Linked DNA regions of Kluyveromyces lactis. The protein of the gene in region 1 interacts with the protein of each later gene in a pairwise test. Links are inferred from orthologs where the notes say so. Each region holds a gene or a part of one and is shown on either strand. Other genes may lie near its edges. The genes, in order: SEC27 and PRO3.

Evidence for each region.
Region 2: the proteins of SEC27 (region 1) and PRO3 interact in a protein complementation assay, tested with the Saccharomyces cerevisiae proteins (2 studies listed by BioGRID). The link is inferred for Kluyveromyces lactis from reciprocal best matches to the Saccharomyces cerevisiae genes SEC27 and PRO3.

Annotation. Positions count from the first base shown.
Region 1 is NC_006038.1:162,591-181,521, reverse strand, and holds SEC27 (coatomer subunit beta'), read right to left. Parts: upstream 10,877-18,931; coding exon 10,859-10,876; intron 10,627-10,858; coding exon 7,972-10,626; downstream 1-7,971. Other genes in the region: GTPase BMS1, read left to right, coding at 1-2,029; Arf family GTPase SAR1, read right to left, coding at 2,304-2,876; KLLA0_B02024g (uncharacterized protein), read right to left, coding at 3,354-4,937; RPL1B (60S ribosomal protein uL1), read right to left, coding at 5,627-6,280; MRM2 (21S rRNA (uridine2791-2'-O) methyltransferase), read left to right, coding at 6,943-7,812; KLLA0_B01936g (uncharacterized protein), read left to right, coding at 11,305-12,519; KLLA0_B01914g (transient receptor potential ion channel family protein), read right to left, coding at 12,601-14,970; KLLA0_B01892g (uncharacterized protein), read right to left, coding at 15,667-18,678. UniProt on the Saccharomyces cerevisiae protein: The coatomer is a cytosolic protein complex that binds to dilysine motifs and reversibly associates with Golgi non-clathrin-coated vesicles, which further mediate biosynthetic protein transport from the ER, via the Golgi up to the trans Golgi network.
Region 2 is NC_006040.1:915,142-920,172, reverse strand, and holds PRO3 (pyrroline-5-carboxylate reductase), read left to right. Parts: upstream 1-3,665; coding exon 3,666-4,523; downstream 4,524-5,031. Other genes in the region: ILM1 (Ilm1p), read right to left, coding at 1-105; JHD2 (histone demethylase), read right to left, coding at 496-3,048.

The DNA.
Region 1 (18,931 bases):
AATTGATTTTGATGACGAAAAACCTGAAAACATGGCCTTTGAGACAGATTCAGAATTGGATGCATCTGATTCTGAAGGTTGGGAAAGAACCACAGCTGGTAAATTGAATGGTACAAAGAATAAAAGAAGAAAGTGGGATATCAGCAAACTTATCTACATGGACAACATTGCTCCAGCTGATGCAATCAAAAGATGGAACGGCGAGGCCGACGAAACTGAAGTTGAAGAAGATCTAGAAGACGATGAAGATACTGAATTCTTCACCCAAAAGACAAATACTACACCGAATAAGGCAGTAACTTACCACGATGATCTTGAAAGATTTATTCCTTATTTTGATACATTCAATGACCTTGTTGAAAGATGGTCAACTGCCGATTCAATCAAAGACAGATTTGTTGGAAAGCCATCCTTAAACACCAAGTCTTCTGATGATGTAAAGGATGAAGACGATGATGAAGATGAAGTATACGGTGATTTTGAGGACTTAGAAGCTGAGCCTGAAAACACAGATGAGAAGGAGGAGAATTCTGCTGCAGGAGATGAAGAATCTGATAGCAACGAATCGTTCGCTGATTTCGAAGAAGAAGAAAAGAAGGATTTGACCCAGGATGAAGAGCGTGAATTGAATGCCGCAAAAAAAGAGAAATTAAGGTTACAATTCGAAATGGAAGAAGGAGACAACTTTGGAGAAGACCCTGAAAATGAATACGATACCTGGTACGAATTACAGAAGGCTAAGATTGCTAAACAATTAGAAATCAATAAAGCCGAACTGGAATCTATGACTCCTGAACAAAGGCAACAAATCGAAGGTATGAAAGCTGGGTCTTATGTTCGTATTGTCTTCGATAAGGTTCCTATGGAATTCATCGAAAATTTCAACCCAAAGTATCCAGTAATTATGGGAGGTCTTCTTCCCACAGAATTGAAGTTCGGAATTATTAATGCAAGAGTCAGAAGACATCGTTGGCACAAAAAGATTCTCAAGACAAATGATCCTTTAGTTTTATCTCTTGGTTGGAGACGTTTCCAAACTCTACCAATATACACCACTAGTGACTCTAGAACCAGGACTAGAATGTTGAAGTATACTCCAGAACATGCTTATTGTACAGCTTCTTTCTATGGTCCCTTGTGCTCGCCAAATACCACTTTCTGTGGTGTTCAAATAGTTGCTAACAGTGATACAACTGGAAGTTTCAGAATAGCTGCGACTGGTATTGTAGAGGAGATCGATGCAAGCGTAGAAATTGTGAAGAAATTAAAGCTTGTTGGTTATCCTTACAAAATCTTCAAGAACACTGCCTTCATAAAGGATATGTTCTCTAGCGCTATGGAAGTTGCACGGTTCGAAGGTGCCCAAATCAAGACTGTTTCCGGTATTCGTGGTGAAATCAAGCGTGCTCTATCAAAACCAGAAGGCCATTTCAGGGCAACTTTTGAGGATAAGATACTATTGAGTGACATTATAATTCTTAGGTCATGGTATCCAATCCAAGTTAAGAAATTCTACAACCCAGTTACTTCATTGTTGCTAAAAGATAAAACTGAATGGAAGGGTTTGAGACTAACTGGTCAAATTAGAGCATCTCTTGGAATCGATTTACCGACCAACAATGACAGTACATATAAGAAGGTTGAAAGAGTTGAAAGGAACTTCAACGGTTTAAAGGTACCAAAATCTGTTGCCAAAGACTTACCTTTCAAATCCCAGATCTATCAAATGAAACCGCAAAAGAAGAAAACATACATGGCTAAGAGAGCTGTCGTTCTAGGCGGCGAAGAGAAAAAGGCACGTTCCTTCATGCAAAAGGTTCTCACCATTTCGAATGCGAAGGATGAAAAGAAGAGATCCAAGAAAGCTGAAGAAAGGAAGGAAAGACTCAAGAAGCTTGCTAAGTTGGAGGAATCGAAGAAAGAAAAGGAGAAGCAACGTAAGAAGGACTTCTTCTCCAAAAACGGTAAAAAAAGACAATTCAACGACAATGACACAAGTGATGTTATGTCTTCCAAGAAAAGGAAATAAACTATGTATTTTAACCTATTTACATTGCATAATTTGAATGATAGAGTATAAAGTAATTGTTAAGAACCAAAATGAACTACTGTATTAGTTAAGAGTCGCATTTGGAGTTGATTCTGAGCTGGAGATTTTCTATGTTAATGCAATTCTAAGAGACCATGAGATTCTGAAACATAGCTAAGTATTTTATGCATATATGATTATAGTTATTCTTCTCCATGCTTATTAGGTGATATTTGCAGTTATTATATATCGTTAGTAGCGCTTGCTTAACTACTTAAATATATTCAGATAGCCACTTGAAGGCTTCAGAGTAACCAGACTTCATGACAACGGAACACATGAACAACTCGATAGGTCTTTGACCTTCAATTTTGGTATATCCAGTTGTGTTCATCAAACCCAATGCAGCTCTCAATTCAGTTTCAGAAACGGCACTTGGAGAGTCAATCTTGTTACCCAAGACAGCAAATGGAACGTTGTCCAATTCCTTGATTTGGAACAAAGCATCCAATTCAATACGTGCTTCGTTAAATCTCTCTGGGTCAGCAGCATCCACTAGGAACACAATACCATTAACTTCTGGGAAATAATCCTTCCACAATCTACGTGCTTGCAAATGTCCACCTAAATCAAAAGTGGTGAATTTGATATTACCGATCGCCAATTCTTCAGAAGTTGGGTGCCAAGTTGGTTGCAAAGTAGCTAATCTATCGTTCTTCAACATATGTAACAAGGTAGTCTTACCAGCATTGTCTAAACCTAAGAACAATAACTTACCATGCTTGTTCCATAATCCTAGGGATGATAGAATGTCCCTGAACCATCCAAATAAATCCCAGCCTGCCATCTTTTACTGTATTTTCCGTACAACAAATGAAGAGTCAATAAAGAATTAGTAGCTTAAAGTGCCGTAATTTTTAAGTCGAATTACTAACTAACAGTAACTAAATGAAGATCATAAACTTTGTTTTTAAAATATGCCTGCCTTTGTTCTTTTGAAAGACCAATCTGTTCATTTTCGTAAAACGGTCAAATGTTTCTTGATCTTCCTATTAATTGAAATCACTTGATACGATTGATATAAGATTACACATTACAACTATGTGAATATAACTTGGTATAAAAGAGCAATGCAGGATGTGAACGTGCGTTTATGAAAGAGCTTTGGAATCAGTTATTACGGAGGTGTATGGAAATTGCAACTTTTTAGATTTGCTTGTTGTTGTTTTTTCATTAGAAATATCAATTTGTGCTAAAAGTAACTGCTTCCTTTTATGCAAATACAGTTGATGCAAGAGTGCGCCGGAAATTACAATGGCGACCATCAGCTCAGGTTTATATGCTCATGTAGTGCGAGTACAGTTTTTATTGAAAGCTCAGTGATAAGAAGACCGTCTTGGGTGTCTTGTAGAATTAAAACTAAATTCAGTTCCAATTTAGAAAGAAGTTTCTTAGAGATACCACACACCTTACTAAAGTACGAATGGGAGTGTACATGATCTTCAAGTAACTTGGCAGCCAAACGGATGAATGCAATGAGCAAACGATGCGTCATGGATTCCGTGATCGGGTTTTCTAGATGAAATTTTCCACTTCCAGTGTCGAACTTTATGTCGCAATAGGTAACTAACAAGAAGGATGCTGTCAAATAGATAATTGGCGGGAATGAACATTTGGATTCGATTCTATCGAGATATTGGGATATGGAGAGAGTAGGAGCTGATTTCATCTGAAAGATTGCTCTAATATTGGAAGTTTCTTCGAGGTTCTCATGAGACCAATGATCTATCTCCATTTCTATGTCATCTTCGGTTTTTGACTTGGTCGCAGAGGGCTCATTATGCAAATTATCATTGTCATTAGAAGTGTCGCCACCGATATCACTATTTCTATTGTTATCATTATTATTTTGATTATTATTCTCATCATTAGTATTGTCATTATCATCATTGTTAATATTATCGCCATCGCTACTGGCATTATTATTGTTACTATTATTTTTATTTTTATTATTATTATTATTATTATTATTATTATTATTATTATTATCAGAATCATCATCATCAGCATTATCATCATTATTATCATTAACTTCGCCTTCATGATTTGTCATACCATTCTCAGCATTCTTACGCATATCAGAAGACAATAGGAGAGCGAGTTGCAGGAAATCATCGAGTATTTGTAAGGCTTCTCTGGATGTCATTTCTAAACCAAACACCTCATTATTGTTTAAATTTGTTTTCAGTAACGAATGTATAAGAAGTGTACTATCCCTTTGGTCATCTATTTTTTCCAGGGGGAAAGATTTGGGTAATCCATTCAGCTCGTTGTGAGAGTTATTGTTATCTTCGTTGTTCAACTTATAATCGGAAACCGAGGTCGTTGCCAACAGATTTGAAAGCCGACGATCGAAAACATTACTCTCTTGATCGGACTCCAAGCCACCCGCAGTAGAATTGTCTCTATCCCCAGCTTCACTGAGCTGGAAATTAGATGCAGATCCCGCTGACGCGGTAGCTTTCGCACTTATGCCTGTCGGAGTATCTGGCGTTGTACTTCTATACCATTCCTGTACATCCAAACCGGATTTGAAGTCCGTAATTTTTTCTATATTATTTTCAAAGAACATATTCAAGTTACTAGTGTTTTCCAATAGCTGTTCCACGGTCATCCTGTTTTTGCCTTCAGCGAACCGCACTTTTTTAGAATCGGCGGTATGTAACACATCATCGAAGTTTCCGTCTAGATGTCGACTTTTCAAAGGTAACCCAAAACTTTCATCCTCAACGTCGAAATCACTTGGATCACATTCTTCTTCCCTATCCAAAACACCGTTCACCTTGAACCAATCACGCTTGTCCCCAATGAACGCGTTTCTAGGCGATGTAGAGCCACTTAAAACCATTTCTTTTCAAAAAATGTGGTCAGCACACGCTACTAAAAGATGCTGTTTACTGATCTCGCAAATCAAATCCAAATAGTAACGATAAAAACACTGGTAGGACCCCTAGAGGATAAATAGAAGCTAGTTTCAAACTCACCAAAACCAAATACCAAAACTGAAGCAAAAACTCAGTTTAACTGATACTTCTTCGTCCCTCAATGCGGAGATACTCCTAAAAACAAACCGCTATTTTCTGTTTGTAGAGACCCAGATTTAAGCAGCAGCAATGTATTGAAAGGATGCTCTAACTATTATTCGCTTGTGGGGCCTTGGTCTTTCTCTTTTACTGAATTTGTATCCATACAGTAGCACAGTCATATATATGTATAATAAATAGTAAATATAGCAAAATTTGGGTCCGAAATTGCAGTGTTTTCAATCACCGGATAAATAGCAAAAAGTTCACTGTAAAGAGGAAAAATGCTTAGATGAAAAAGAAAGCACCGCATCAATAGTTTGTGCGATATAATAATGGGAAATGGACCACAACGGTCCGAGGTTTTGGCTCGAGCGGATTTCTTCTGCGGGAAGTTTGGGTTGTAGTGAAGACGAGTAAACCAGTAATATCCTGTTATTTGAAAACTTTATATATGCATTTTTAATAATAGAGAATGATATAGGAAGCTAAAAAGGCAGTAGTTGTTGCTGGCTTAGTACAATCTGTAAGCTGGACCCATGGTAGACTTGATGACCAAGGAACCGACGTTTTGCCAGTTCTTCTTCAACAAGGAGACCAAGAAGTTAACAGACATCAAGATTTGGTTGACCAAAGTGTCTTCGTCCATTTCGACGTTACCGACGGCGACAGCCAAACACAAGACCTTCTTCAATTGGAACTTGATGGTGGACTTGACGTCGTTGACCTTTTGGTACAAATCATCGTTGTGGGAAACTGGGGTTGGGAACTTACCAGCCTTGGACAATTGAGGACCCAATAATCTTGGAACTTGCTTGATCAAAACTTCCGAAGCGACGAAAGCAGAGTACTTCTTAGCCAACTTCTTAATCAACTTCTTGTTCTTGTTCAACTTCTTCAAATCTTCAACGGACATAGCGTCGACACCACAGGACTTAGCTCTGTCAACATCGAAAGCATCACCAAAGATACAGATGGACAAGTTTGGTCTTGGGCAGACTGGCAACTTCAAAGTACCAGAGAAACGCTTGTCTCTTTGAGGATCGTAGTTCTTCAAACCGACTTGCAATTCAACGGTTTCCAAGAAATTTCTCTTCTTGGTTTCATTGGAGTATTTCAACAACTCCTTGACGTTGTCTCTAACGTGAGAGGAAGTAATCTTAGACATCTTTGATGTTTTATGAGTGGTGAGAGTCTTCCAAAAGTATTTGGTGGTCCGTTTAATAGGCTTGCGACTGTGCTCTTTTAAATTCTAAAACAAACAGAATACGAACAATATAAAAATATATATATCAAGAGAGAATAAGAGAACAACGTCCCGATTGATTAGCTGTTTTCATCATATGTTGTTATTCCAATGTGGTTCAATCTGAAATTTTTCAGTTTTCCTGTAGGCTTTGGCCAGGAGTGGGTACAAAAATGCTGGGACTGTTGAAAATTGGTGCGGTGACTGGGTGTTTATTATTTCAGTGCCAACAATATCCTAATTAGGAAGAATTTCAAATCTTAAATTGTGTCACTATCCTTAACCATTATGCGGTGTGTGGGTTAATGGCTATTCGCTTGCCAAGTAGCATCATAAGGTCCAGATGAGACTTGAAGTTGTCCTCTAAGCTGCATAGTTCGTAGTCCGTCCTGTTAGAGAACTCGCAAAGTGCACGTACTTCCTTATTCACCTTTATTTGTATCTCATCGGTGTTATATTTTAAGGTTTCTCCTGTGGAATATGTACTGACAATCAAAAGTTAAGGCTGTAAAATGTCAAATATGCAATACCTGGACAGTTAAAGGTAGCACGGTGCTGCATGCGAATACTGAATCATTGTAGGGATGAATTCTGTGTTACAGCCTTTGATCACACCTCAGTATAGGTGCACTCCGTTTGTGCTACGGCTAGTAAGATACAATTCTAATGCGCAGAACCGTTGGTTAGCGAGGCAAAAGAATGATCATTTCACCAAGGCTGCAAAGGAACAGCAGTTTAGGTCCAGAGCAGCATTCAAATTAATGGACATTGATGATAAATACCGGTTCTTCAAACAAAATCAGAAAGTTTTAGATCTTGGGTTTGCGCCGGGTGCCTGGTCACAAGTAGCGAGGAAAAGGATCGGTTCAGGTGGAATGATCATGGGGGTTGATTTGTTACGTTGTACTCCGCCAAAGGGAGTGTATTCGTTACAGGCTAACATCCTATCGAAAAAGACTCATGAATTGATCAGACTTTGCTTTGCTCGTCATATCCAGCTAAACAAGCATGATCAATTACATAAGGATCATGGGTATCTCCAGCACATGCTAGAGGAAGAGTTAAACCATTTGAAGGAAACAGAGGAGTATAAGGAGCTATTCTCACAGACAGATATCAGTCAGAACATCGAACGATACCCGGTCGATGTTGTGCTTAGCGATATGATGGCAAACACGACAGGCATACAAAGTAAAGATCATTATATGTCGATGGACTTATGTGATGCTGCATTAATTGTAGCAATCGACCTATTAAAACCGGGAGGTTCATTCACTTGTAAATTATATGCTGGAAGCGAAGATACCCTTCTTGAAAAGAGACTTAAAAAGGTATTCAAAAAAGTCGACAGATTCAAACCCAATGCATCGAGAAATGAATCAAAAGAACTGTATTTCGTGGCTCGCGGGAAGAAAACTGATATAGATAAATTGAAGGTGTTTTTAGAGGAATAATTGTACTTGTAAATATTTTAAACAGTTTGATAGAATCTTCAAGACTCACGGATTGTAATCGTTTAGTTCATGTTAATATACTAGCATATTAATACATTATTTACGGATTATGAATTTATCGTAGTTCATTTTTTCTTTTAGGAGTTGGGGAACGTACAGTTATTCCGCCTTTGCAGCGGGTTTATCATCGTCTTTTGAACCTTGAGGCTCTTCAGATGAATCCTTGAATGCTTCTTCATCTTCATCTTCATCCTTATTTTCCTCGGTATCCAACGCTTTTTCTTCAACTGCGACATCCTCCTCTGACTTATGGTTTACAGGAGCCGCTTCTTTTATGCTCTCGCTTGGTGTATCTAAATCAAGTAAGGTATGTGTATTCGTTGATGGAAAACCTTCTGTCTTACCGACAACTCCAACTCTTTCAGCAATTGCGGCTTTACCGTCATTGATCAAAGTTTGCTTCCATACGTCTACTACAGTGTTGATGGATTCTGCCGATTCCCCGTATGTTAAACTTAATAGGGCAGCTTCTGGCACCCTATTAGATTTTAATAGCAAGTCCTTTGCTCCAGCTATGTCACCTGCTACCCAATAAGCATTGAAAGCTAGGTTGAACTTACCAGAAGTCTCAGCATTCTTTGCCAATGAAACCAACTCTTCCCTATTGTTGAATGAAGAATATAACAAGAAAAGGGATTCTAGATCATTTGCCTTTTCATAACATTGCAAAGCTAAAGTGAAATTGAATTTCTTTAAGGCAGCATCACCCAATTGAATCCATCTGTTCTCACTTTCCTGCTCGGACAATATTTCTTGCGCCAGTGATAGTCGGCCTAATTTAATAGCTAGATCAAACTTCTGCTCAGCGTCTGGTGAAATTTCTAAGGCATCTTCAAACAAATCTTGTCCCTCCAAAAATCTAGAGATCTTTAGCAAGTTTTCTTTTCCTTGAACATTAGGTAGTACGGATGATTTGGCCTCAGCTAGTTCGCCTCTGAGTACCAATGTCTCGAATTCCAAAACATCAATAGATAGTTCATAACCATAAACATGGATATCTTTGTCAGCCAAATAAACTTTATCATCTCTTGGCAAATAACCTAATAAGTACATCTGCTTATCGAAATGTGCAAGATTATAGATTTTACCACCAACAAAGTAGTTTAATCTATTTGTTGGGGTGGTGAAAATGAAGACATCACCAACCCACTTACCTGACGTGATACCCTCTGAAACTTCGTATAATACGTCAAACGCATCTTCTACACCATCTTCATCAATACTTCCAGCTGAAACCGCCTCATCGTAAACATCCTTATTGAACAACAGAGCGTAAGCATTAGCTTCTTCAGCAGAGTCTGTTTCATGGTCTTTGTTGATGATCATAACAAGCTCTCCATTATCTGACCAGATTATATCCTTAGCATCGACATCAATTCTTTTCACTAGATTACCTGATTCCCAATCAAAGAAATATACGAAGCCGTCAGCTTTGACACCTAATACTGAACCAGGGAAGATTTTTTCGACACCGTAATCAAGCGGAATTGACCAAGAAGATACTTGTTTGAAGTTCTTGTAGTAGGTCACTGCACCCGTTTCCGTGATTAACGCATAACTATTAGAATCTGGGCCCCATGCAAAGTCATGGCATTTGCCGAAAGCTTTGTTTCTCCATGCTAAAGCAGTGTACACAATGAATTCGTCATCACCAACAACAGTGACAAATCTACCATTTGGGGAATGCTTCAAACTTTGTGGGAAAACGTCGATCGACCCTAATTCTTTGCTTTGCAAAGGAAGGGCACCGCCTTCTTCTACCTCTTCATTACCTCTAATGATGGCAGAGAAGACGTCAGTGGCTGATGCTTTACCACCGCAATAAACTAACTTACCAACTGGATCCAAAGATAATTTTGGTTGATCATCACCTAGGGATAGAACTGTGAAACCATTGTCGAAACCCGATGCAATGTAATTACGTTTACCAGATGGATGAGTAGCGATACACCAACTTCTTTCAAGCCCGATGTTCAACGTTTTCTCTAGTTTGTATGTATTTGCATTCCAAATCTTGAGAGTTCCATCCTCGGAACCTGAGATAATGATAGGTAAAGTCGGATGGAATACAGCATATGACACGTTAGCCATATGTCCCTCTAAAGTAGCAACATTAGATTTTGTCTGGTAATCCCACACCTTGATGGTACCGTCATCGGAAGTGGTAATCAAATAAGGCTTATCTTGTAACGGGTAATAGTCGACATAATTCACACCTTTAGTTTCATGTGCTTTCAAGGTGAAATTTGGAACATCTTGACCAATCGACCAAACTTTGATAGTGTGATCCAAACAACCGGAGGCAAATTGGTTGGGGTCCTTTGGGTTGAATGCAACAGACATGACGAAGTGCTCATGACCGGTAAAGGTTTGTTGGCAGCCCCAATTCTTTTCCCAGTTCCATAACTTAATAGTCAGATCATCAGAACCTGTCAGAACGAATGGCTTCGTTGGATGCACAGCAATGGAACGGATATAATCAGGATGTGCTTCGAATTCGGTCACTTTTTCACCGGTGTTATAATTATAAACTCTTAATTTAAAGTCATCGGAACCAACAACAACCCAGTTCTTTCTTGCAATGAATCTACCAGCTCTCACTGGAGCATCACATAATGGAATAGATCTCACTTGCGTTTGCGTCTCGTAGTTCCATATCTCAATTCTTCCTGAGTACAAGGTAATTAAAACCCAAGGTTCCTCAGGATGAAAGTCAATGCCCTTAACCCTGTCAGTTCTGGCACTGAGCTTTTTCTAAAGACAAATAAAGTCACCATAGATGAAAAAAATGTTAGTAAAAGCTCTTTCTTTTAGTTGCTGATAAGGGCTGAAGAAATATAATCTGTTGAATCAAAACATAAAACATAAATGTATTGATACCAGAAAAACGCCTAAGATACTTAATATGCAATTGCTAACGTTCAACAGCGATTCTCCGTGATAAAAGCACCTCACAAATTACTCTAGTACACAATGTGTCACATACATTGATGTCAAGTTTCATTGCTAATTTCCTTCCGCTCTGTTGGGTCTCTACCTTCGATGTTTTCTTCAACTAACGTGTTAAAATCATGAATGGATCTTTATTATTCAAATTCCCCTTTCAAACATTTTTTTTTCAAAGCCGTTGATGGACATGGCATAGGACCGGGTAATGTTATTATGATATTGATGTCAGTGTCAGTGTCACATAAATAAAGCATCAACTTGAACCGTTTCGGCTCGAGAGTACTACGAGCTATATGACTTATTTCCCCTAATATTACATCAATCTTCTCCATTTTGTATTCAAAGCTAAAGTTGAAGAATATTACTAATTATTATATTTGTTCGACAAAGGGCGCGATTTAGGCTATTCAGCAGAACAACTGCTATTTGTCTTGATAGTCTCATTTTATTAGAAGCTACAGCAGTTGTGTGGTTTGTTATAGAATGAGTAAAGGTCAACTATGGTTGTTGATTCTCTTTTGTTCTGCTCTATTTTTTGATTTTGCTTACGGGAAAGCACTATACCCTGTTCATACAATTGATAAAGCTTGTGCGGTAGGTTTCAACTCTGCCAACATGAATATGAAGAAAACGTTTGAGATATGGAGTGGGGCAACGATTCCAGTAGATTCTTTGCCTGGAGATACAAAGCTCTTCACTGGATTTAAAGTACACAGGGTATTTTATTTTCACCAGCTATATAAAAGATCAGGGAAAGCTTTGAAGATAACTTATTGTAACGAGGGTAAAGTTGTCTTTGAAACTGAGAAGCAACTTACTAATGATGTAAAGGATTGGAACCAACCGTGGTGTTTTTTTGAATCTAAAGAACAGGAAAATCCCAATAATAGTTTGAAGAACTTTCATTGTTTAAAAATGGCCAGAAGAAAGAAGTATGCGATCCGTCCATTTGATGTTTTTATACCCTACACTTGGGTTGGCGGTTTGTTTTATTGTGATGTGGATATGGATGCCAAACAAACGATATTTCAATCTTTACAGAGTGATGGAATAAGTACATCAAATGCAATGGAATTTTGTTCTTTATCTAATTCGATACCAATTCAGCCATTGTATGCATCGACTTATTCTGATTCCTGGTCAGAAGTTATGGCTAAGAAATTAATCCCATTCATCACTCTCCTGTCAAAGCGAAAAACAAAGACATATGTTCCATACTTACAGACCCCGAATTTGTCTATGGCTCCGACTAACTTTAGTTTGAGCTCATATTACATGAATACAAGTATGTCCCAGATACCTGACTTCAAGAGCAAACTTTCCACAAAAGAACTTCTCATCGATTGGTATTCAAGAAGGAAATCCTCAAAAGAGTTGTCCTGGTTTCAAGAGATTGAAGTTTCAGAAAGATATCATTATGATAAAGAAGATAATTTCAAACTCACGTTGGCAACAGAAAAATTGAAAGATATTATTTCGCCTTTGCTTCAGCTTTCAACCATAGAACAGGACAAACTATCTTTACCTTGGAGGACATTGAATAAAGTGGCCACAACTAAGTTATGGAAAACTTTAAGTATTACGGATAAAATAATGGCAGCAAACCTAACACGAGTACTAGAAAAATGCTCAGTTTTCCTTAACTATTGGGATAATATGCACGTCTCAGATGAATTGTTTGAATATGTGCACCCGTAGTCAAAAATCGATAATACATTTGTTTAATACGATGAAAAGTTTATATAATATACGAGTTTAGAAACGAAACGGCACTCATATTTACAACTTGTAGTAGGAGTTATTGTTATGTTGGAAAATATCTGTTGAGGATGTAGCATTCATATCCGTAGTACTATTGAAATTTATGCTATCACTTATCGAAGTTTTACGATGGGGTGAAGCTGTTGGAGTATCGAGTTGTGTGTCAGTAACAAAATCAAAATCACTACTGTTATCTATTAGTCCGTTTTCTGCCTCAGACACTGCTCTTGTGTGAGTCCCTTTAATAGTTTTAACGATTGGCGTTTCTGATTCTGAGCTAGAGTCACCGGAAAGATGCGAAGCAGTGACGGTAGCTTGTCTATTACCAGCGGTTAACCTGGACGAAGTGGATTTATTTCTCCTCAATGACATTTTACGCAATATCTTATCCTTGAATGAATGTTTCCTACTAATATTAGCTTCCTCTGCTGCCTCGAGTTTTTCATCGTTAAGATTATCTGTGCTTGATTCGGTGTTTTGTTGACCCTGGGTAACTAGCATCTCCTGCCAGTCCCCATCATGTTCTTTAGCGACAGTGCCAAGAGCCATTAGTTCATCAGCGACAGATTTATCCATAGCACCCACATTCGCGGATTGTCTTTGGAATGATGTTCTGTCATCGTTCGCTGGTTTGAATCTGACATCAGGGTTCTTCGAAAAGATGACAAAGCCCACATACACAAGAATTAGAATCAATAAAATCAAAGAGAATGCAGCGTTCATAATGAAGAAGACCCAAGCCATAATCGAGGCCACTGGCTGAGGTTGCCCAAACAAATCAGAGAAAAACAAGAATAGGAATGAGTTCACTAAGGTGACTGTTGAAATCAAAATGTTGAGGATATTTGTGGCACGATCCAAATATGGTTTGAATTTGATGATGGCTGCGAAGTAGGCCAAATCAATAATAAACAAAGCAAGAGCTTGAGTTTTACCTGAAGCTTGCGCGAATGCGATGAACGCACCTTTGACAAAGTTTTGGGCCATAATAACGCAGGACCAATAATAATAATTGGCGGAAAACATAGTATAGAAGAAACCGTATTTGTTCAAGACCCTCTGGTCACCATATAAAATAGCAGCTGGATTGTTGTGTAACTGAATAGATCGTTTAGCAAAAGAAATTGTTCTGAGTGACACATAACCGAGGATACCATAAACCATAATGATGAATAGACAACTCAATACAATGAGAGCCGGCGAATCTCTTTGAATAAATTCCCAGAAACATAAAATAGTAATTTGAATGAAACCAATGTAAATGTAACGCAGAAGAGCACCCTTCAATATGATCTTCCAATGCTTTCTGAAATCGATGAACCTCGAGTTTTTCAACCATCCGGCTCTGATACATAGTTCGACGACATATTTGGCGCAAATGATCAACCCAAATAGGAAATACCCACATAATATAAAGAATGTTAACCCAGTAGCAACGATAGAAGTAATTTCGATGTTGGCACTGTAACCTAAACGTTTAATACCTCTGAAGATTAGAACGTTGGAATTACCATACAAGACTTCTGCCGCACGCTTATAGATGCGGGTACTTTCCAGATATTCTAGGGATCTTTGAACCAAAACAGAAATTGTCTTTGAGGTTAAGTATAGAGTCGGAGTGCCACCAGTGGCTTGAACATACCATCTGAAAATTTTTTGCATGAAAGTGACACGGATCAATCCCATGGACCACATCAAGTTTTCGGACCAAGCAGCGGCGATAGGAGGCACAGTGTTAACATGTTCCATGGCGAACACAGTCACCGATTGGAAATACAAGAAAAGCGACATAGTATTGGCAGCCACATGTGAAGCAGCGTTAGAGTTACCGAAGGCGGATAGCAATGCAGAAGTCAACAACCCGATACCAGCGATAACAGCAGTGGCCCATTTGACACCCGTTTGCGAGACTGTCTTCCCATTAGAAAAGAAAGCTTGAATACAGGCAACGATCCCATTCGTATCACGTTCCACCACAATAAGCTTAAGGTACGCATCGATATCGGGCACCTGGTATGCAATCCCTGGGATCATATCGACATACTCATCAGATATATATTCGACTGAATCGATTTCAATCACTCCAGGGTATAAAGGACAGAACTGTTTCCAATCTGAATCACAGGGATCAATCTGTCTGTTAATAATATTGAATCCGTATGCGTACACCTCAGCATGAGCAATGACGTACCCATTGATATCGGTAGTTATATCCAAAGTATAACGCAATGATCCGTCATCCGGGTTGAAGACCACATCAAAACTGTTAGCCGTTAACTCAGAGTTATCCATACATGATACCAACGAGGTAGCAATCAAACTACGTCTAGCAAACACATTTGATACAAGAAGGGACAAAAGCACCCACAGCCTTATTACCATGTTCATCTTCAAAAGAGAAAGCTTAGCTGGAAAAAAGTATAAGTTATCAAGCGTTCAACACTTTCTAACCAACTAAATGAATAATAAGGGCTTCTTTTCCTTTACTAATTCAGAAGTCAGATCAAATCAAAATAAGCACAGTATTTCCCACGGACCGAAATTAAAATCCTGATCTATTTTCCTTTATTAACGCTTTTTCACCGACAGACGTGAGGTTAGGTTATTCTTTGTTTAAAATTTGATAAGCCCTTCGCCCATTTGCCAGCTAGCCAATTATTTGCCAGTTATCCCTCTTCTTCTGCTTCCCTTGATAAATGTCTGTTCCTTACAGATCAAAGTCTATTTTAAAACATCATCCACCGGTTTCTCATCCTCTGAATTTCATGATTTCTTCAGTTCTGAATTTCTCGATTCGACCATGCGAAGTTTCTTTAGAGCTTCATTCCTGACACGAACCGAAAAAGAAAGAAAGAAAAAAAAAAAAAAAGGACGCGAACAAACATTATCGTGGAAGACTGTACTGAGAAAGTGGTGCTTGGCTGCAACTGGACTTAATACTATGGGAAGTAAAGAACTAAAATGTTTCTAGTTGTTATTCATTCCCTTATTGTCTTAAATATGAGTTTGCCTGAATAACAGGAAGCATAGCCAAGCTCTTGTTCTTATTCGACATATATATGCGTACGTACTTGCCACACTCAATTACAAAGATGGTCTGCTGTGTGACACTTCTTTATTCAGTAGTTCAGGCCAGGTATACTTGACTACATCGAAGAAATCGGAACAGTAGTGTAATTGTAGTTGTGTCTTGTCCTTGAGTTTCTGTAGTTCTGGTTGTCTCGAACGGTCCATATATATTTCGTATTGCTCTTGATTGTCCGTAGAGACGGCTTGAACAACGTCAGATAGGTTAGCCGAGGGTACTAGGACGTGATTCATGTGGTAAAATTGTGCCCCCAATAGTTTCTCTTTGATTCCACCGATAGGCAAGATCTTACCTCGAAGCGTTATCTCCCCCGTCATACAGAGTTTAGGAGAAACAGGTCTCTTCAAAGCGCAAGAAAGGATTGCTAAGGATATTGCAGCGCCTGCGCTGGGTCCATCCTTTGATACAGCGCCCATTGGAACGTGGAGGTGATATTCAGATGTGAGAAATTCATTGATATCCTTCTCGTTCACGCCAGGAATCAACCCACGGAAAAGTATATGTTTCACAAAACTTGTTGCAATCTTGATGGATTCCTCTAGGATGTTTCCTAGATTACCTGTGGTCTTTATATATGGGCCGTTTGTAGCTCCACTCTCATCTGTATGGATCTTTATCACTTCAAATAGCAATACACTGCCACTGCCGTCCGAATTATAGGATAATCCATTGACAACACCAAATTTCTCTGAATGCTCAGTTGGAGCAAGAATCTCCTCTGAAATTGGATGGTGTGCAAGACCAAGGTACTTGTATAAATGTTCTTTGTCCACTTCACCCTGTATCATTTTGTTCTCCACGTATTCAACAACTTTACCCCTAACTATAGCACCAATTCTTCGTTCCAATCCACGAACACCCGGTTCCCTCGTGTACTCTAAGACAACACAGTTCCATGCCTCATCTGTCAAGTAAATTTTAGGTAGCTCTTTAATGGCATCAAGACCATTCGCTTTTATCTGTTTAGGCAAGAGAAATTTGGAGCCAATCATAATTTTTTCATCTGGAGTATATCCAGGAAGCTCAATTAGCTCCATACGGTTCAAAAGAGGTTCGCTGATGCCTTCGAGATCATTTGCAGTACAGAAAAACAAAACTTGTGAAAGATCAACAGGAAATCCTACATAATGATCCGAGAAGGTAGAGTTCTGTTCAGGGTCTAATACTTCCAATAGTGCGGCGCCGGGATCCCCATTAACTCTGTTACCAAATCCACCAACCCCTCCACTCAATACTTTATCTACTTCATCTAAAAGAATTAAGGGATTCATTGTACCCGCTTTTCTTAAAGCACCAATGATCAAACCACACATCGAACCCACATATGTTCTCCTATGACCCCTAATTTCTGCTTCGTTATGTATACCACCGAGAGATATTCTTTGGAATTTTCGACCTAAAACATCAGCAACGCTCTTAGCAATAGATGTTTTACCCACACCAGGAGGACCGACCAACAAAAGGATAGGCGGCTTATTGATAGAAGCCCTGTCTTTCTTAGGATGAAGGTCGGTATTAAGGTTTGGATCATTGGTAGAAATCTCGGATATCTTTAAGACACTGAGATATTCTACTAGCCTGCGCTTAACACTTTGCAATCCATAGTGATCCTCATTTAATTTTGCTCTACTTTTTGCCAAATCTATAGTTGAGATATTGACAGTTTTTCCAAACGGAATGTCCATCACAATGTCAAAATAGTTTCTTAGAACTTGGTAATCGGCATTCTGAGGAGTCATCTTCATGAACCGTTTGAAGTCCTTTTGTAACAGTTTGATACCGTCAGGATGAACATTTTTTTCCTCCAAGGAGTCGATAAAAGACTTAATTTGTTCCATTTCGTCATTTGAATCAGAATCTTCATCGTGACTCGAACTGGTTTTCAAAAACTTGTTTGGGGATGTGACGTCTGTACGTTCTTTTTCGGAATTTGCCTTCAGTATAACGCTGGAGTTATTCCTTTTAATATCATCGATATAAAACCTTAAAGCTCTCAATTGATTTGCAATTAACTTGGACTTGTCATTATTCGAAGAATTGGAGAAGTGATTATTTACATAATCCACGCTATCATCAAGCTTTTTGAAAATTTGTTGGAAGTCTTGGACGCATGTGGAGAATAAAATTGCCCTTGATTTGAGTTTCTTCGCAGTGAGAAAGTCTAAGCGTTGTTTCAATGACATAGGTAGTATACTCATTACCAAGTCCATCATTGAAACTAATTCAAAGCAGGTGTCATAATTCCTTTCAAGCACAGTGAGTTGCTCTAGATAAGCCTTCAATAATTTCCAAGACTTGTTAAAGTGAGACCCATTTAACTGCATGAAAAGAGTGTTCGCTAAGGGAGAAAGATATAAGACCCTAGAATCTATATCACCTGATCTCTTGGATGCTAATGAGTATTTTGATTTGAAGTCTTTGATTATTTTGTCTGTGTCGTAAAATATCTTCACGAAACTCAAAATGCTTTTGTTAATGCTTTTATGATCCCAGGTCCGTAGTTCTGAGCGATCGTCAATTTCTAGGATGCTGGATTTCCATAAACTATGTTGCATATTCAATAGAGGTTGTTTGTTTTCAACTCTTGCGACTGATTTGAACGTAATTGTAATGGTGTCATCTTCCACCTGAATTGCAGTTATTCTTGAAGCAGCTCCAACAGAGTTATTCACGGCTTCAAAGGGTAAAAGAACTATGTACATCTGAACTTCTGCGTCATTATTGCTATTATCAGAGCCGTACTTCTTATGGAACTGTTTGCATGAATTCACAACTGAATTATCGACTACTATTTCGTTCTGAGCAATAGCCGTGTTGATTTTGTCCAATAGATGATTATTCTTGAATGAATTATTTCGTTTGAACTCAGATAGCACATGTATAATAGAATCTCTCTCAAATGAAACCTTGTACGATACACCAGGTAGTGGGACAAGCTTAGGTGCGTCAACAAGTGTAAAGCAAGGCAAATACAAGTTTGAGCCCGGGGAATCAAAAAATAACCCCATGATTTAAATCTTAGCAAGTAGAATAAAAGATATAGCTATATTGTAGTAACAGTGTTTGTGAGATATGCAAAGTATATCGGCAACTCTACCTCGATAGTAATCTGTATTGGATAGCAACTTCAAAGTGCATAATCCGATAGTCATGGACTAAATGAGGGAAGTAACAATTAGTATATCTCATATTAATCATTTCACATTGGAATTTGACAGATCATATTACCCGCACTATCAGCAGTCACAACTATGATAACCA
Region 2 (5,031 bases), on another chromosome or scaffold:
ACTATTTCCCAAAATAGCATTAACATCAGTTACACTTAGGTATGCTAATCCCAATAAAAATACTATTCTGAAATACGTTACGTTCACTGATGATAATAGTCCCATATCTGATAATGCCTAATTACTGCCTTTTGATCGTAATATAACTGTTATCCAATGTGCAGCCCTTAATCATAATGTGATGAGTTAAGATGGCGGTTTATTTTATAGGATATTATGTTGGTTTCTTGTAACTTTTTTTCAAAGCCTTAATCATTGTTAATCAGAATATGGATTCCAATGTCAAAAGTCAGAATAGGTTTGACAGAATAAAATACAGGATCGCAGAGAATATTACGAATACAATGACAGTATATCTGATAGAATCAATTCTGGTATCATAAAGAACTTTGCATAATGCATATTTAGAAATTAAGTGGTTAATAACAAATTATTTGTATACAAGAATTATGTTTAAAACCAATGAACAGTCTGAAAAAGCGGCTAGGTGACTAGCTATCTAAGCCTTCTGTCCAATGCCCGTTCTACTCGAGATATTAGGTTTCTCACTTCATCTGGCTCCCTAATGTAAACCATTACGTCGTTTTTGAAGTCATCCTCGGATGGATCGTCAGAATTAATTGACTGTCCGGCGTCATCATTATCATCGTCGTTTTCTGCATCCTTTTCATCAACATACTTTAAATATTCCTCCAAGCAGAAGATTGAAATATTTCCATCATTCGAAAGCTGATTCCATTCGTCAGGTGTAGCGGAAGCCAAGTTTCTTCTTTTGCTTCGAAATCGTTTCGAATTGTTATGTACAATGAAGGCTACTGGGCAGATGGTTTTGCATTTTGAGCAAAAAACATCGATGTCATCGTCGTCATCGTCGTCATCTTCATCTTCGTCATCTTCGTCTTCATCAAATTTTTTCTTATTTGATACGCTCCTACCAGGATCTTGATTAGAATCCTTGATAGAATCACTACCACCTTCTTGATCAAGACTAGAGTTAGTGTACGCATCCTCACAACCAGTGGAGAAGATTGTTTCACCGACGATATTTTTCACTTTCATCATGTTTTTAAAATCGGTATTGAACCATTCCTTCAATTCACGGACACATGTGGCTACAAAACTATCATCAAATGTTTCAGGTTTTATCAAGTAGGCGTTCAATACATTGCTCATTAGGTCAAACAGGTTGACGACAGCGGTTCTTTTGGTTTCCTTATAATCATTAATTGATTGTAGCCCATATGGTAACCACAGATCCAATGTGAAATTCACCGCTTCGTTGAAATTGAATCCAGAATTGAAACCTGCATGATAGCATTTCGGATATGTCACAATATATTCTCCTGGGTTTTGAATAGCTTTATAGCAATCAATACCGGCTTCAACAAACCGTTTACTATACGGTGAGACCAGCGTGATCAATTGATGCAATAGATCGGGTTGCCTTTCAAAAAGGTCTGGAGATATATTCTTCATCATTTCATCAAAGGCAGATGTACTACGTTCTGGTATCGAATACCATATTTTCTGTGAGCCTATGTGCTGATAGTTTGCACTAAGAGTGTATTGATCCTCGAGGTGCCAACAGAATGTTGAAAACGTAGACCCAACATAAATCCAAGGAATGGTCATTCCAGAAATTTTTCTGTTGATGATAGAAAGGAGAGATCCTCTGGCTCTAGGGAGGTTGATTAAGTTCCATGGGTGCGAGCTCACTTTCAAGAACTGTTTAAATTCATCAGATTCTTTATCTGTAATAAAAGGCGGAACGTAACCCATAGTTGGGAACCCGGTAGTTTGACCAGGTTTATTTCTATGTATGTCAGCTCCGTACTTGACAGTTATTGGGTTTGGTACCATTTCTTGAACATGTTCCCAGAATAATTTCTCTAAAGTTTCAATATCATTAGGTTTATTTCCAGCAAATTGTTGGTCATCGAAGTTAGCGCAATGTTCTTTGAAAGATTTCAATGTATACAAAGACGAAGGTTCCTTAAACCCATAATATCCATTCCCAATAATACACGTGTTACAGATCCATTCTTGACCATTGGAACCTAAGTTAGGTGTACTTTTCCCAAGACATTTCTTATGGAACTTGAAATCGCATGAATTGCATGTCACTATTGCTACTGAAGAAGACGTAACTTTAGTCGGAACGTGTTTGACACATATTGGGCATTTTTCATCCTCATCTTCATCCTCAATGTTGAAATCGTCAACTTCTTCATCATATCGTAAGCTTTCCGGTAGATCATCACTAAAGATATCATGCTCATTCCCAGAATGGCTATGATCCCGACTTTGGTTCGATTCCTCCGTGGAATCGTACATTTCAAGCAACGACTTCGGATAATCGTAGTTGTATAAAAGCCCAGATACGCTGTTGCGCAGGCTACTACTGTGTTTTGTGGATCGCGTCTTCATCATCTCATTGTATAAAAAGCGATAGTAGGGAAGAATGTGCAGCTTGAATATCTTTTTCGTTGTCGCTGCGTCCAACTGCGGGAACTTCAGGGAAACTTCTTGCCAACAACTTTTATGCTCCATGACGATTTTAGGATCGACTAGTTTGTATTGAGCTTCGCTGACATAGGATCCATCTCTTTGTCTTTTTCTCGAAGTAGAACTTAATTTAAAACTGAAACTGTCGTCGCCAGTTCTTTTCCCTTTCTTTGGATCAAAATATCCGATAACAGCTTTGTATACGTCGTAATAGTAGACAGGTAGGATTTGCCCGTGACCAAGAATGACCTGCGGTGACGATAGCAACTTGGAGTCACCTTTACTTCTTTTCAAATTGTTCAATTGTTTCCAGAAAAGAAGCCTCGATCTATTCTCAATATCTAACTCCATCAAAACCTGTAACCTGCACCTGAAACTAAACTGTTCCTCATCAATACTAAATGCAGGCTTGAAGGACTCCGGAGGAATAAGCTTAATCATCCCGTACTTCATCCCAAGCTTCTTCACCTCATTCGAAGACAAGAACCCAATAGGGTCCAAAAATTGTTCCTCAGAAGGCCTTAGTGTGGGTATTTCCTGCATGGCGCTTTCCCCATTCGAAATCAATCTACACTGAAATGTGTCCAAAGTGTGTACTCTAAATAGCAAACCTCTTATCAATGATAAGACCGTATGTACTGCTGTCAACCTTTCCTTGTGATGAGCTAGCGAAATGCTAATGTTCAGTCACGGGTTTCGAATTCCTACTGGCAACAGTGTGTCACTTTAAGTGAAAAACCAAAAAAAAAAAGTTTGAAAAATTTGGCAAAAAAGAGCAGTAGTGATTGCAAAGAAACAGCTATTCAACAATCCAGCTAGATTATACCTATCTATTCCGTGCTCAATGTGCCTTTCGCAGACCTCTCACTATAATGATATGACAACCTCAATGACTGCCTTTTGTTTCGCTAAGTGTATCCTTTAAGGTCATGAGGGGACAATATGATAGCATGCCAATATGTATGTAAGTTTGAAAAATTGATCAACATGGATTGCTTTTTCAAACGGGCTCAAATTGGATAAATGATCAGATGCGATAAGTGAACATATACATATATATAAGGGGATTGCGTCGTTGGAAGAAGTGATTTTCAGTTTGTATCACTTGTAGCTTGGATCGGTACAATACAGACAGATAGCAGGATAAACAAAGCACAGAAATGAGTCGTTACACTTTAGCTATTGTGGGATGTGGTGTTATGGGCCAAGCATTGTTGAGTGCTATTTACAATGCACCAAAAGCCAGCGATGAAGCTCTTCAATACTATCCAAGCAAGATCATCGCTTGCAATGACGTTCCAGCCAGCGCAGAGCTTGTGGAGAAATTGGTTAGCGGGTTTGAAACTTCGCCAAACGGAATTGAGGTCGAAATTGCTACCAATGATAATGAAAGAGCTGTTGCCGAAGCGAAAGTAATCATTCTTGGATTGAAACCTCATATCGTGGAACCAGTCTTGCAGCAAATCCCTAACGAGGACGGGTCCAAGCTTTTGATCTCTTTGGCTGCCGGTGTTACATTGAACCAATTGTCTCAATACTACAAAAAGGTTTCTCGTGTTATGACCAACACTCCAGCTAAATACGGTTATGGTACTGCAATTGTGTCACATTCTACTAGCGTCGAGCCTCAGGATAAAGCCATTGTATCGGAATTGGTTAGCCAAGTCGGTAAATGTTTGGAACTACCAGAAAAAAATATGGACGCAGCTACTGCGCTAGTCGGCTCGGGTCCAGCTTTTGTACTACTAATGCTAGAATCAATGATGGAAGCCGGACTAAAGATGGGCATCCCATTGAAGGAGTCCCGCGAGTGTGCTATGAAAGTGTTGGAAGGTACTGCCAAGATGGTCGAGATTTCAGGACAAAGTCCTGGTGTGTTGAAGCACCAAGTGTGTACTCCAGGAGGTACTACGATCGCTGGTCTATGTGTCATGGAAGACAAGGGCGTCAAGTCCGGCATTATCCGTGGTATCGAAGAAGCAGCAAGAGTTTCCAAGGAATTGGGCCAAAAGAAGTGAGCACAAACTATCTCTGTACGCTTTATAACAGTAGTCATAATAATAATAATAATAATAGTAGTCATAACATTCTCACTCACATGAGAATGTCACGTGAACAAAAAACAACTGCATTACCCTGTCCACCCCTTAAACCCGTTCACCACACTGTCCTTTCTCGGCCAATCAGATCTCACCTTCAATTTCAGCACACCCTGTCCCCCGAAATATCGTTTCGGCAAGAAACAATTTCAAAGACTTGAGGAAAAATAGGTACTAAGTCAGGGTAATCATATGTCTGCACTGAAAACCTTGTAGCGACTCTCGAGAACGTCTGTTAACACCGGGTAATACCGTGCATGTCCAATACGTGTGTCCCCTTTGTATCTTTGTATAATCGAAAAAAAATTTTCGCTCAAAATCCACAGAAAGAACTGTAGAAAATACCGCGAATTTTATCCAAAATTACGAAATTTGGCAAAAAATGTGTTTTCGCCCTTTCCCAGGTCAAGCGCTCTATTTGTCTGTT